Linked DNA regions of Lonchura striata. The protein of the gene in region 2 purifies or fractionates together with the protein of the main gene of each other region. This does not show direct contact. Links are inferred from orthologs where the notes say so. Each region holds a gene or a part of one and is shown on either strand. Other genes may lie near its edges.

What was found.
Region 1: the proteins of LLGL1 (region 2) and PARD6B purify together in Homo sapiens (affinity purification with mass spectrometry; 5 studies listed by BioGRID and IntAct, counting the BioPlex papers as one, with this or other methods). This does not show direct contact. The link is inferred for Lonchura striata from reciprocal best matches to the Homo sapiens genes LLGL1 and PARD6B.

Annotation. Positions count from the first base shown.
Region 1 is NC_134619.1:1,172,036-1,179,567, forward strand, and holds the start of PARD6B (partitioning defective 6 homolog beta), read left to right. Parts: upstream 1-4,364; 5' UTR 4,365-4,432; coding exon 4,433-4,498; intron 4,499-7,532. UniProt on the Homo sapiens protein: Adapter protein involved in asymmetrical cell division and cell polarization processes. Probably involved in formation of epithelial tight junctions.
Region 2 is NC_134618.1:15,718,868-15,726,234, reverse strand, and holds the start of LLGL1 (lethal(2) giant larvae protein homolog 1), read right to left. Parts: upstream 3,044-7,367; 5' UTR 3,005-3,043; coding exon 2,924-3,004; intron 372-2,923; coding exon 274-371; intron 1-273. UniProt on the Homo sapiens protein: Cortical cytoskeleton protein found in a complex involved in maintaining cell polarity and epithelial integrity. Involved in the regulation of mitotic spindle orientation, proliferation, differentiation and tissue organization of neuroepithelial cells.

The DNA.
Region 1 (7,532 bases), on a different chromosome or scaffold from region 2:
TAGGAAGGGGTTTTCAGAAAACTTCACGAGTTTATTGCTGGACCAAGTTTATAACTGGATTTATAACACACCTGAAACAAATGTTTCTTTCACAGGCAGCATGGTATGAAGACAACCTTTCCCATAAAGGCAGACAAAATAAAAGTACAAACCAACGAAGACCCCCCCCAACCCCAGGAAACTATAAATATTTTATCGGAAAAGATCTTATATATGAACTTGAAAAACAATCAATTCATTTTGTCACAGACAGGTAAGTAAATATTGCATCAAAGTAACAACTAAAGGTTCCTGGAGGAGGAGTGGAGAAGAAAAATTGCTGCTAGTTTTCCTGACAGGAAAGAAGAAAGCAAAGGCAGAAACAGAACACAAAAACTTATTACTAACCCAACTATTGTTTCCCCCCTCAGTAAAATAAAATTTTAAAAACTCAAACAAACAGATAAACAAAAAACCCATCCCAAATTAAAATCCTGTAACTGCCACAATTTCAGTGTAAGAAATAAAATTTTTATTACACAAGTGCTACTCAAATACTGCTGTTATTAATGAAGCAGCTACGTTGCCATGCCCTGGGGTTTTCTTGCTGAGCCTTGCTGCTGTTTTTGTGTAGAGCTGTTGGTGTGGAGTGTGTTCCATGGAGATAAAGGGTAACAAGCTCCCCTTCTCAAATTCTTCCTCTCTGATGCAGCACTTGTGAGCTCACATCCTGCCTCGGGATCAGCACTATCAGCAGAGAGTATTCAATGGATTTTATGGATTCGTGGGAAGTAGTGCTCTACAATAATTTTGTATTTGTGACCATCAGACGCCCCCATGACAGCACTGGTTTGTCTCCAGCACTCACTTATCAAGGAGAGGCCAAAAGCAATTTGAGGTCACGCTGGTCCCTAATATTGTGAAAATGGAGTATCCAAGAGCACACACTACTGTTGAAAATGCTTCTTTGTAGGGAAATGTAACTGGGACACAACATTAATGTATCAAAATTGCAGAAGGTATCAAAAAGAAAGCCTGTAAGTACAGGATTTATTTTTGAAAGAAAGCAGAATTTTATTAACATTTTGAAAATAAAGCTTCTCTTTTTCCCCTTTAGTTTTCTCTACCCATAAAAAACTCTCCAGTCTCTCATCAACTCCAAGACAAGCTCAGATTACAATCTAGTGCATCTAACAATCACTCCTCTGAGCTGGCACTGACAGTGTAAATAAAGACTACTTTATGTTAAATATGAAATCAGCATAAGCCCTGAACTATGTAATAAAAGATTAGGTGGATCATCAATATAGTTAACCTATGCTGACAGCAATTTTCTGTGCTTTATTCTTGGAAATACTCTCTGAAATCCCAGGAGGGCTGTATGGAATACAATTCCACTTAAAATCTCAGAAATCTGGAATAGGAAACCAACATCTTGGCACAATCTCACTATACTGCATGGTGGACCTAAGTGATGGAATTTCTACACAAAAACAAACAAATGGGGAGAAAAAGGCCTCCCAAAAAAGCTTCCCCAGCTGCTCAGAGATCAGGAAACCCAACCTGTCTTTCAACTTCACAGAAACTGAACGTGCCGTGAATAGCTTGACCAGGTCTGAATCACAGGTTGTACAGAACTTGTGACTAAAATAGCTCTATAAGCTTACCTTACAAAGAGCCTGCCTCACTCCCCACCTTTATCTGAGATCAAATTGTTTATCACATTCCTTCCTCGTACGTCAGCTCCTTGTGATGAAAGCCAGCCAGTGATTAATACATTTTATTAGGTTGGTTCCAGTGACTTGAAATGAATTTGCCCTGACTCCTCAGGCTCGCTCCCACACCCACTGCCTGGCACTCCAGCCATGCTAGGAATGCACAATAGAAAACAAATTATCTTAGGCGATACCTCATAAATCTATAGCAGTAAAATTAACTGCACAACAGCTCCAAGCAGAAATCAGCTTCAGGAGGTTTTTCCTCCCTTTCTCCAGGAGAAAAGAGCCAACCCAGCAGCTTTAAAGCCCCAGAGAAATCACTGTTCCCTTGTCTCTTGCACTCTTCTCTGTGCTCAGCTCATTAAACAGAGCTGTAGAAGACAGATATGGAAAGCAGTCCAAACTCTTTTCAATGTTATAATTACAAAGTGACAGAATAAGAGGTTTTATCCTGGTCTTGCTCTCAGAGCTGTAATCTTCCTTCTACTGCACCAGGATCACAGATTCTATCTGAATTTACAGGTTGAATTCTCTACGTGTCCTTCTGCAGTGTAAAACCAAAACATGCTGGATAAAGGATGAGAAGATTTGAATCAGCCTAGACACCGTCTGGCAGCAAACTATATTTAACTATTAACAATATCCTCTGTGCTAATTACAGCTTGTCTTGGCTCGAGTGAGAGCTGCAATTCCTTTGCCTTTGGCGTGATGGGAGGAAGATCAACTGTACAAAAATCAGCACCGACTTAGAAGTGATTCAGCACTGGATGCATTTTATTTAATTACTGATTACCAACTGAGACTTGAGGACTAGACACCCGTGGCGTGCCTCAGGTGCAAGGCATTGTTTGAGCTACCATCACTGGCATCCACACATGATGAAACCTCACACGGCATTCTCTTCCACCAGGTTCATAGATAATGGAGAGACCTGTAATTCAAAGGTCTGTTGACATAATGAGATTAATGTACATGCTTTCTTCTTGTCCATACACGTGAGAAGTAATTTATTTTCAGACAGTTTACAATCTTTTTCTAAACCTTGTACTTTTGTCAGGGTAGCTTAACTGGCCTTTAAATGAAATTTAAAAGTTAGCTCTGACATTACCAGATCCTGCAATCTTATTTGTGACCAAAATGAAAACAAGCTCCATGAACAGCTTTACGTTCAGGATGGACATAAAGCCACATCCTGAGAGGGAGACGTCACACTTTTGGCCTGACCAAGGTTTATTTATGTAACATGCAAACATCAGCTAGCACTGGTGCGGTTTGCGTGTTACATCCGTGGGATCCCAGGATCCCTGAATCACAGAATCACTGGGACTGGAAACGATCTTTCTCTGGAGATCATCCAGTCCATCCCCACGCTCCATGTCTGAGGGCTCGGAGCCTCCAGGGCAGCCTGACCCGGGGGCTCCGGGGCTGTGAGGGGCACTGGGCCGCGGGATGCGGCTCCGCAGGGCTGCGGAGGAGCAGCAGCGCAGCACGAGGCTCCTGGGGCTGTGGGAGAATTAGGGCTGGCTCCTCGGGGCTGTGGAGGATCCAGAGCTCGCCATGGAGGCTCCCGCGGCTGTGGGAGAATTAGGGCTGGCTCCTCGGGGCTGTGGAGGATCCAGAGCTTGCCATGGAGGCTCCCGCGGCTGTGGGAGAATTAGAGCTGGCTCCTCAGGGCTGTGGAGGATCCGGAGCTCGCCATGGCTAGAGCTGACTCCTCAGGGCTATGGAAGACCCAGAGCTCGCCATGGAGGCTCCTGGGGCTGTGGGTTAGGGTTGGCTCCTCAGGGATGTGGAGCATCTGGAGCTTGCCATGGCCAGGGTTGGCTCCTCAGGGCTATGGAAGACCCAGAGCTTGCCATGGAGGCTCCTGGGGCTGTGGGTTAGGGTTGGCTCCTCAGGGATGTGGAAGACCCAGAGCTCGCCATGGAGGCTCCTGGGGCTGTGGAGGACCCAAAGCTCGCCACGGCCAGGGTTGGCTCCTCAGGGCTGTGGAGGATCCAGAGCTCGCCATGGAGGCTCCTGGGGTTGTGGGTTAGGGTCTGGTTGGCTCCTCAGGGATGCGGAAGACCCCGAGATCGCCATGGAGGCTCCCGGGGCTGTGGGAGGGTTAGGTTGGCTCCGCAGGGCTGTGGGGGAGCCGGAGCTCGCCGTGGAGGCTCCCGAGGGCCGCGGGAGGATGCGGAGCCGCGGGATGGCGGCTCCCCGGGGCGGGAGGTGCCTGAGGAAGCAGCGGGAGCCGAGCCGCGCTCCGGCCCCGTGCGCGCACAGCCGCGGCCGCTGCGGGCACAGGAGCGGCGGCACGGCCCGCACCCGCTGCGGGGACAGGAGCACAGAGCCCCGCACGGGCCCGCACCCGCTGCGGGGAGAGAAGCAGAGGCACGGCCCGCACCCGCTGCGGGCCAGCAGCACAGCAGCGCGGCCCCTCACGGCCCCTCACGGCCCGGACCCGCTGCGGGCCAGCAGCACGGCCCCTCACGGCCCCTCACGGCCCCCGCCCCGCCGCCTCCATCTTGCGCGGCGGGGCAGGTGCGGCCCGCGGAGGCGGCGCAGGCGCGGCGCGGCCCCGCCCCGGTGCCCGGCAGGTGCCGGAGCCGCGCGGCCCCGCCCCGGCCCGGCCGCGCTGAGGGCGGAGGCGGCGGAGCGGCCGCGGGTGCCGGGCTTTGGCTGGGCCGCGCCGCCGCCCGTCCCGCGGCGCTCCGGCGGACGGAGGAGCCAGAGCAGCGACCGCGCGCGGCATGAGCCGGGCTCCGCGCGGCGCCGCGGGCAGCCGCGGCCTGGGCACCATGGAGGTGAAGAGCAAGGTGGGAGCTGCCGCCGCCCGAGGGCCGCGGGCGCGGGGGAAGGAGCGGGCCGGCCCCGCGCGGCCGCGGTGTCGCTGCGGGGACGGGATGGGGACGGCTGCTGACTCACCTGCCCGAGGGGCCGCCGGGCACGGCCCCGCCGGGCCTGAGCGCTCCGCAGGCCGCGGGCCCGGCGCTCCCTCCCCCGGCCCCGCTGCCCAGCGCTGGGGTCGCTTGCTGGGTGCGCTGTCTGCGGGCGCGAAATGTAAATGGTTTTGAAGTGCTTTAAAAAAAAAACAGGTAAGTGGAGTTGACCCCTGAGTTTCTGGACAGAATGAAAGACGTACAGACAAATATGTGCTCTAGGGAAAGTGTGGGATCACTGGGCCAAAAGAGGTATTTAGAGACATTCTTGGGGAGTGGGCTACATGATCTCCAGAGGTCCCTTCCAACCCTGAAAGTCCTGTGATAATTCGAGACCTTCTCTTTGTCCGAATTGCGGTGAGTGCGTTTGTTAGTGACTGTTTCTGTAGTTACCTTTTTTCCCCTAATGATTATGTCTTTCTGCAGCTTGTTGTGCGGTACAGCATAGGCTCACAGTAGAGCTAGAGGTGAGCCCTGGCTGGCTTATCCGAAAGTGGAGTTTGCCTTCTCTTAGAGGCCCCGGGAGACTTTTACCCTGGCAATGTTTCAGGAGTGTGTACCTGTGTGTTCCCGCAGAGATCACCTCTGTCAGGTGCTCACAGCTTTGCCCAGCTCTGTAAATTCCCCCATGCGTGTATCCACGTCTCTTCTATTTTTAATTTTTATTTGCTGGTTAGGCAAAGTTTTTCTGACAAAACTTAGATATTCTGAGAAAAATTAGATTTTTTTTTTTTTTTGTTCTGCTTTATATTTGTAATAACTTCCAGTTGTAAAACTGCTGGATGTACAGTATGAGTTGGAGTATCACCGTTAGTTTAATAAATGTTGCGCTGAAACACCTTTTTCATTGCCTAGGCAGATTGTAAGTGCATCCACGTGGGAATGTGTTTTCCATTGGTGGACACATGGATCTCTCTGGTTGTTTTTTGAAGTGTTCTGTCCCCTCCTTTCCTGCTAGTGAGGTCTTACAGCAGCAGTGCAGGTGAAGCAGTCAGGACTTGAGCTGTGTGGATGTCTAAGGGTAACGCATCATAGTGCTGGAACTTCTGGAGAGTGTAAGGTTGGTCTCTACTTGAATGAGGATGATTTCTTTTAGAGTGTTCATTTTTCATGTGGTTTTAACCAGCAAGCACAGGAATATCTGGTAGCTGTTATTTCAAATACCGGCTAAGTTAGTACTATGATGGTGAAGTCTTCTATTTATGCTCTTATAAGGTTGAAAAGAGTCAGTATGATGTGCTTACAAACCCAAATCACTTGTTTCCTCAGCCCAGAACTCCAGGTTTACTGTTTTCCCTGCTGTGTGTTTTCCTTGATTTAAAATACATCGAGGGAATCAGCCATGTGGTGTGTTCTGGTGTTTGTACAGAGAAGTGTAGCCCTAATGAACAGGGATTGTCCCTCAAGTGCATATTATGGAGCAGGATTCAAGACATTCCTAGAACTACTTGTTGCTAATGCATTATTTAACAGCACCTCAATTAATATCACAGAGGAGTCATCTTCCTTCTATGAAAATGAGCAATTCTGAAGAGAAAGAAATGCCTGTGTGGGAGGTGGAGGGACCATTCCTGTGGAGTGGCCTGGGCTTTGAAGGCTCTCCGTGATGTACAGCTCTTTATTTAGATATTCCAAATCAATAATTGTGCCTCAGCTGACAAGGCTGGGCCAGCACAGCCCAACTGTGCTTGCAGTAGCAGGAGCACAATCCTTTTGTTAGTTTAGTTTATTCACTTTGGGTAACTGCTCTGAGCTTGCCCTGGCAATTCCCCATAGTACTTGAATTCCAGTCAGCCTGTTTTCTTGTCATGGAAAATAAAACTTTATACCCCAGACTAGAGTTCCTACTGATGGTATGGGAACCCCAAAATAAGCTTCTAGTTCTCTATATATTAAAATTCGTGTTTTCCCCCTTTCTCATGACTTGGAATAATATTTTTTCTGAGTAAAATCTTAATGACTGGTGAGCCAGAGAAGGTCAGTGCAGCTCATGTTCTGTCAATGATGGAGACATGCATAGGGCAGCTCTGTGCTGTGTTTCAGACCCATACATGAGTGTTGAGTGGGCATCCCGGGTGCCTTCCTGGTGTGCTGCCATGGCTCTCCTGCCTTCTCCCAGGGGAGCAGCACAGGCTTGTAAAGAGCTCAGGTGGCAAGGAGCCTTCTGTGCTTGAGTTACTCCTCCAGTGTCTCTAGGACCTCAAGTGCAGGCCTGTTTCATGGGATGGAGGGCAGCATCTGGTAGAAAATGCAGACGTTTCAGGGATTCAGATAATGGAATTGCACAGTTGGACTTGTCTTTTACCTGCTTTCTAATAGTATTGAGCAAACTATGTTAGGAAATACGAGTGGGTTATGAGCCTTTTGGTATTTGCACCAAATATGTATAAAATAACATGGAAAAAATAAAAATCGCACGTTTGAAAATCTGACCCTTTGCTTGCTGTGGTAAGATTCAACATTTATTCCAGCCTGAGGGTGAGGTTGTTGACTTTTTAAAACTTTTGTTACTGAATTACGTTTAAAGTATGTAATCCTTGAAAGCCAAAGAATTTCGATGGCTGCCATGCATGGACAGTTCCTGCGGGGCTCGGATCTGAGACAGGACGAAGTCCTGCACTGATGTCACCATTAAGCTGCGCTGCCTCTGACGTGATGGGAGTTCCTCCCGTGGGCTGGGCTTTGTTTGTAAGCAGGTACGAATCATCCCTTCTTCCTCATTAGTTAATGTTAGGGTAATTGCGGGGTTTTTTACAGCAGGAATGTTCCCAGATAATTCCCTTATTTGAAGCTTTTGGAGGAAGGTGGGGTGTTGAAGGTGTAGCTTGTTTTGAGTGGTGTTAACGTGCTAACAACGATGTCCTTGTCTCCTGATTTTCGGTGCTGCTGTTTGTATGTGAGAACTCCGAGG
Region 2 (7,367 bases):
AGGACCCCACACTTGGGATGCTCCCCCCGGGACGGCCGAGCCCCTTTCCCCCGCCGGCGTTTTGGGGCGAGGTGGGGGTTTCCTCCAGCACTCCTCCAGCTGCAGCACAGCTGGACGGAGGGATGGACGTCAGCCGAGTGGGGGCTGCGGGATGGGCCAGAAGCAGCGCAGCCACGTCTCCAAGCATTCTCCGGGATGGGGAGAGCCGGAGGAGCGAACGCGGGAGGGTCCGGGAGGTCCTTACCTCCTGCTCATGTGGGAGGAAAAGGATACAGCTTGACGGCTCCCGCCTTGGTGCCGATGGCCATCACACGCAGGACGGGGTCGTAGGCCAGGGCGCTGGGCTGGCTGGGGAAGCCGTGCTCCACCGTCTGCCATGGGGACAGGCAGGTCAGAGCGGGACCCCCCCCACCTCGGACACCCCCAAACCTTCCACAGCCCCCCTCGCCCCCACAGCTGCGATCCCGCACCAGCCTGAGCATCACCCCGGAGATGGGGGATCACGAAGATGCTGCTCTGTCCCCCAGTGCCACCAAGGAGGGCCCCGGGGAAAGGGGACATCACTCCTCACCCAATTTCCACCCAGCACTCCAAAACCCAGCCCAACAGCCACAGCGGGGTAGGGCTGACCTTGAACGAGCTGCCCCACCACCCGCCGGCACTTTGGGGGTGGGACCCCCCTGCTCTGAACCTCGGAGGTGGGGACACCCCAGGGGAGGCGAGCGGGACCCCCAGTGCGACATCACCGGGCGTCCCCGATGCCGGGCGGCAGAACCAGGCGAGCGGGACCCGCCAGCGCCAGGGACGTCCCCGCCGGAGCCGCGCGTGGCCCCAGGGCACCTTCCCAAGGAAGTCCCGGCCGAACGGCGTGCCCGGGCTCGCCGGCCGGGGAGGGGCTGCCCCGGCAGCGGGGGGACGCGGGGGGCACCCACCGGCCCGGCCCCGGCGCGGGGACCGCAGGGCTCCCGAGGGCAGCTCGGCGGAGCGGCGACGGCGCGATCAGACGATACGGAGGCCGCCGGAGCCAGACTGGCCGGATCCTGACCCGCTCCCTTTGTCTGGGGCATCCGAGAGGCGCAGCGGGGCGGCTTTGCGCACCCGCCGGCGGCACCCCAGCTCCTGCTCCCCTCCCAGGGGACACCTCCAGGAGCGTGAAAACGCCCCCAGCCCATCCCAGGCGTCCCGGCCCATCCAAGTGGGTCCCAACGCGTCCAAGGGGCGAGGAAGTGGGTGCTCGTGGGTGCCCACCCACGCAGGGTCATGCTGAATCCCCCCGGGATGCACGCTGCGCTGGAGGACGGAGCTGGGACAGCAGCACCACAGCGATGCTTTAGGCCAGAAACCAACACGGTGACACGGGCAAAGAGTCCCCAAAAAGCGCTGTCGCAGCTCCCCAGCACTCCCAGTCCCAAAAGGAGGGACCCCCGCCGCAGCCCCCGCTCCCGCCCGCAGCGGGGCCGCATCCGGCAGGCTGTGCCGGCCGGCCAAGGCGCGCTCCCGGCCAAATTACAGCAAATCCCAGGCAGATCTGGAGCTCGGGAGGAAAAACAACCCTTAATGGGAGGCAGGTGGGCAGCCCGCGGCCCCAGGGCTGGGACGGCCGGAGAGGGGCTCTCCTCAGCCTCCCCCCAGGACATCCCACTGCTCACACCCGCCCTGGGCACTCGTTCGGGCAGGATCCGGCCGCGGGACTGTGCTCCCCAAAAACAGGGGGGCTCAGGCTGGGCTGAGCCTTGCACCCCGGCCGGATCCACGGCAGAGAGTTGGGGGGCCAGGGCTGTGCGGGGCGCTGACCCCTCAGCACTGCACACCCGACCCCGCTGTGGGACAGCCGGGGGTCGCCCCGGTGCGTCCCCAGCAGGAGCTGGGCAAGGACCCCACGGCAGTGCCGGGACGCGGCCGAATGACGGAGAGACGGGCACGGTTTGGGCGCATCCAGGGGGCACTGCCGGTGGTCTCATGCCCCGCGGGCAGGGCAGCAGCACGGTCCCAAGGCCACCACGGCGCCTCCAGGACAAGGTGCACCAAGTCCCAGGCACAGCCCGGTGTCCCGAGGGAAGGGTCTGGCACCTCAGGGCTTGTTTGATGAGCTTGGGGGTCGCTCCCACCCCAAATGAAGGAGGCAAGTGGTAAAACTCGGAGGGAGGAGGGGGGCAAGAGCTGACCTCTCATGTCCCCACAGAGACGCATCTTTGGGGTGCCAGGGCACCCCAAAAGCCCAGGGGGTCATTGGCACAGCCCTTCCGGCTGACACAGGGGGTCCAGCCCCCCAGTATCCCACCCCTGGGGAGACGGGAGTGGGGGGCTGAGCCCCACATGGGGGATGCAGCCAGGGATGCTCCAAGGCCAGACAGGGTGTGGGACCACGGGTCACCCCAAAACGCCCGCGAGCGAGGCCTCGGGGGATCCACGGGACAGGGGGGAGTGCGGGAACCGGGGCGCTCCGGGAGCCCCCCCAGGAGGGGCTGGGGACCGGGATGTCGCGCTGCTCAGGGGGTCGCATCCTCTCCCGGAGTGCCCCCCTGCACCGCACGGGGAGGAGCGCAGCCCCCCGGTCCGCACCCCGGGGCGCATCTCGCACCCGGGGGCTCCCGGTACCCACCCCCGGTGTGCATCCTCCCGGGGCGGCCCAGCAGCCCGTCCCGGGATCCCCGGGCCAGGCAGCCCCGCCGTTCCCGCGTGCCCCTTCCCCGGGAGCGGGGAGGTCCCGGTGCGCGGCTCCCCCGGGGGTTCAGCCGGTCCCGGGGGGCGGTGCCCCGCACTCTGCTCGCCTCCCCGCGGGCGGCATCCCGCGGGGGTACCAGAGCCCCGCGCCACCGGGGGGCTGCCCGCACGCCGCACCCTGCCCGGTACCCCCGGTGCCTCCCGGCGGTCGCCGCCCCCCGGGATCCACCGCCGCGCCCCCCGCTCGCCCTAGACGCACCTTGCTGAAAGCGAAGAGGTCGTGGCGGAGGCGGTCGCGGTGCGGGTCGGCACCCTGCCGCCGGAACCGAAACTTCATCATGGTTGGGCCGGCGGCGGCGGCGGTGGCGGCGGCGCGGTACCGGGCGGGGCGGGCGCGGCCGGCGGTCCCGGGGCCGGTCCCGGGGCGGCGGTGGCGGCGGCGGGGCGCGGCGCGGGGCGGGGCCGGCAGGGGGCGCGGTGCCGGTGCGGGGTCCCCGGTGCCGGTGCGGGGTCCCGGTGCGCGCGCCCGCCGAGCCCGGGCAAGCACCGCCGCGGCGGGGGCGGGGCGGAGCGCCTGACGGACAGCTCCGCCCGCCAATCACCGCGCGGCAACGCGCGCCGCGCGCCGCGGCCCCGCCCACCTGCGCTGCGCCTGCGCCGCCGCGGCTGCCGATGGGAGATGTAGTCTTCTAACTCAACGCCCTCTGCGCTGGGTTTATTTGTATTCTTTTTTAAATCCTCTTCTTTCGGCGTCTTCCCTCGCCGTGGGCATAGTGAGAGACAGCGAGGATACCCCAAGCTTGGTCACGGTGGTCCCAAAGCCCCCACAAACATGGGGCGTCGTGGATTTAGGGTCTCATGGTGTGCCCCACAGCCATGGGGTGCATCAACATGGCGGCGCCCCGGCTGCTAGGCCCGGAGCATCCTGGCGGCTCCCGGAATGAGCACTCGAGCCTCATTCCCGGCTGGCGACTCATTATTCCCGCTAGGGCACCGGGAATGTTGCTCCCCACTCCCCCCGCGGCACCATCCCCAGGTGGGAGGGGGTGCAGCCTGCCCTGCACCCAGTTTTGGGGTGAGTCAGCCCGGGCAGGGCACGGCTTCCCCTCCCTGCTGACTAACCCCGGCCCGGGGAGATGCGGCTGCGGGGCGGTGCAGGGTTTGGGGCGGAAAACAGCCCCGGGCGAGCGGGGAACCGAGCCCCGGTGATGGGCTCACGCAGGGATGGAGGGGCCCGAAGCGCCGGCACAGCCCCGGGACCGAGCGTGGGGAGGCTGGGTCTGCTCCCAAGAGAGGGAAAAGGAGGAAAAAGTCAAAGGAGGAAGAAGGAAAACAGATGGGAGCAAGAAGGGGGTAGTGAAAAGGGGAGGAGAGAAAGAGGACAGGGAATAAGAGCTAAAGAGGTGTGAAGAAGAGAGGAAGAGGAGGGAGAAGAGGGAGAGAAAGGGGAGAGAAAGGGGAGAGAAAGGGGAGAGAAAGGGGAGAGGGAATAAGAGCTAAAGAGGTGTGAAGAAGAGAGGAAGAGGAGGGAGAAGAGAGGAGAATTGGAGAGAGGAGGATGAGGATAGGAGAGAAGGGAGGAGAGCAGGAGAGAAAAGAGGAGAGAAAGAAGAGAAAGGGAGGGAGGGAAAGAAAGAGGAGAGAAAGAGCGAAAGGGAGAGAAAGGAAAGAGGAAAGGAAAAGAGGAGGAAGAAGCAAGGCCACAGAGCAGCAGATCCCATCCATCCCCTCTCTGGCACCGCACACCCACCCCGTCTCCTCTCGCAGGAGGGAGGCACCAGGAGGATGAGGGGCTCAGCACGAGGCCGAAGCACAGGGTGCTGGCAGCAAGGGGAGGAAGGCAGAGATCCCTGTCCCTGCTTTCTAGGACAGCACAGCCACCCCATTTGGCCACCCTGTCCCCGGGGAGCCGGTGACTCCCTTTATTTAGAACCATTTCCCTGCTCCAAACCACCTCGCTCCTGCCAGGGGGAATCGAGGCACGTCCCAGCCCCCAGTACCACACAGCCAGGCCAAGAGATGCTTCCTGCTTTTATTCAATTAATGCAGCAATCTATACAAGAAAAAAAAAAATAATAATGAAACCATGAAATTCCAAACCCTGACAGTGAAGAACCAAATTCTTCCTAAGAATCAATTGGAATTAAAAGATTCCCCCACGTCAGACTGTACATAAAATAATCTCTGCTCCATTTACAGCGTTTCACACAGTACTTCTCGTATCTCAAACTTCAGAACTGTACAACTTTGTTACAAACCACGCTTTTTCCTAGGAAAAGCTTACAGAAAAAAATATTGCCACTTTCTTTTTTATTTTTTTTAATTTTTATTTTTATTGGTAACAAAAAAAAAATTAGAATCTTTTAAAAAAAAACCCAAAAAATTAAAGTCAGCCAAAACTTCTAAGTGTGGGCAGGGGAAGGAGCAGAGACATTTCTCACCTGAATGTTTCTCCTCCCAACAGGGAAAGGGAACACTTTTGGCAGGTAAAAGACTCTTTGCTGCTGGTGGGGGTCTAAGACTCTGCTCCCCCTCCGAGTTCTCCTCAAAGCCTGGCAGATGTTTTGATCCATGGGCTTGGCTAATTCCACCACTGACCCTTCTCGAGATACGGTACCAGCAACAAACCCCAATTCCTCCTGTTCTTTGTGGAAAAGCAGGGATGAACCCCACCTTCCTCCCCCTTCCTTAGCAAAGACAGTTTCTCCTGGTCTGGGCACACGGATTGTCACACTGGATGCAGCTCCCAGTTTGGGGCTGAGCACGGACACGCTGTGGGTGGATGGAGAGGTTGGACCACACACAACCAGACCAGACACACGACAAACCAGCAGGGTCAGGGCTGTCATGAGCCTGGCCCAGGGCAGTTTTGCCTCCAAACTCCAGCTCACCCCACTCCCTGCTCAGCCCCAGCCCCATGGCACCAGCCTGACCCCTGCCTGCGTGCAGCCCAACAGCGAAACCCGGGAATTCCGAGCCACAGCTTCAACCAGACAGGTTACAGGAAGGATCCAGACCTCTGGATCCGTGTGAAAAATGTCTTCTGGTTTTGAATCCAGGTTTCACTCCGATGTTGTTCAGTGCAAAAGAGTTAAAAAACCATGTTATCTACACATATACATCCGTGTCTATAGAAAATGTCTGTACAAGTGGGAAGATGGCCCTGCCTGCACGCTGGGGACTCCCCTCCTGAGGGATCCTGCTCTCCCTCTCTCTCCAAGGTGCCAAGCCCCAACCAGTTCAGGTTAAAAACCAAGAGCAGATCGTGGTTGGGGAGGAGATCCTCCTGTCCCCCAGCCACTCTGCATGGATGGGAACGGGGAAGGAGGGGAAAGCTCCCGAGCAGGACATGCAGGAACAGCAAAACAAGCTGGGAAAGGAATCTTGCACACGCACAGCCTGCACAAGGACTGGGATGAGCTGGTGGCTGGGACCAGGCTAGAGGTGCAAGACCTCAGCATGTCCAGAGACAGAGCCAGCGCCTCATCCCACGGAAGTTCTGCTCTGGGAAGCTGCTCCAGCTTCATTTTGAGTTGACACCAGGGTAGAGCATCCATATTAGAGAGGCAGGGATAAAACTGGGAGCCAGGAAGGGAGAGCTGAGACCTCTGTCACCATCTGTGCCTACAGCAGAGCCTGGCACCATGACTGGAACAGGGCATGGCCAGGATGGATGCAGAAAGACAAAGCCATCAGGAGGAGAAGGGATCTCTGCTCTCTGCGTGCGGTTTTGCTGTCAGGGGAATGCCAAGCTGCCCAAAACAGGGGGTCTGTAGCCAAGAGCTGGCCTGGATTCACAGCAGAAAGCTGGGAGGGTGAGGAACACTGCTTCAAATGCTATGTGTGGTCTGAAAACGGCATTTTCAAGGTTTCACAAGCAGCAGAAGCACAAACTTTTGGATCTCTGGACTGACAAGACACGTTCCTTTGGAGGCTGTGCCAGGAAAACCAGTGGATAATCAGAGACAGGCACTGGGGACCTCACCAACACCCCCACAGTCAGCACTGTGCTGAAGTGATGGCAACATCCTCTGAGCTCATGTGACAAGATCCAGCCTGAGCAGAACCCCAACACCAGGAAAAAAATCAGCAGGGAAGGAAAAGGACAGCGGGACCCAGATGTCAGCAAATGTCCTCGATCAGCACTGCAGGGAACAATGCCAGGGTGGTTGTTTTAGACCAGGAGCCCCTCAAGCCAGCAGCAAACAAGTTTCAAAATATATTACATCTTTTTATTGCCAAGCGTGCAGACCATGAAGTGTGTGGGGGACACGACACTAAGAAAAACTACAATTGGAAGGAGGGCAAAGCAGTAAAAATTTAAAAATAAGACTACTCCTTACAATTGCCAACACTTGGGTTCAAAGAATCAACTGGAGGAAGTTTTTCCTTAAAAGTACAGCTCTAAATATGGCATTGGGCCCCAAACTTTGCAAACACCAAGGCTTTGGTCTGGGCTAACACAAACCAGGTGGGAGAAGAGGATGATGATGGCAGATGCTCTATCACAACTCCACGGGGCTGAATGCCTGATTCTTCTCAGCATTTCCTGTAGCAACCAGAAAACTCCCTAACCCAGGAACACAGGCAGGAATAAGCCAGGAGAAAGCAGGCAATTTCAGTGCTGGATGCACTGAACTGGGGCCAAACTCGAGCCCTGCAGCGTCCCTGCTCCCAGAGCCAGCCTCGGAGGGGACAGAGCT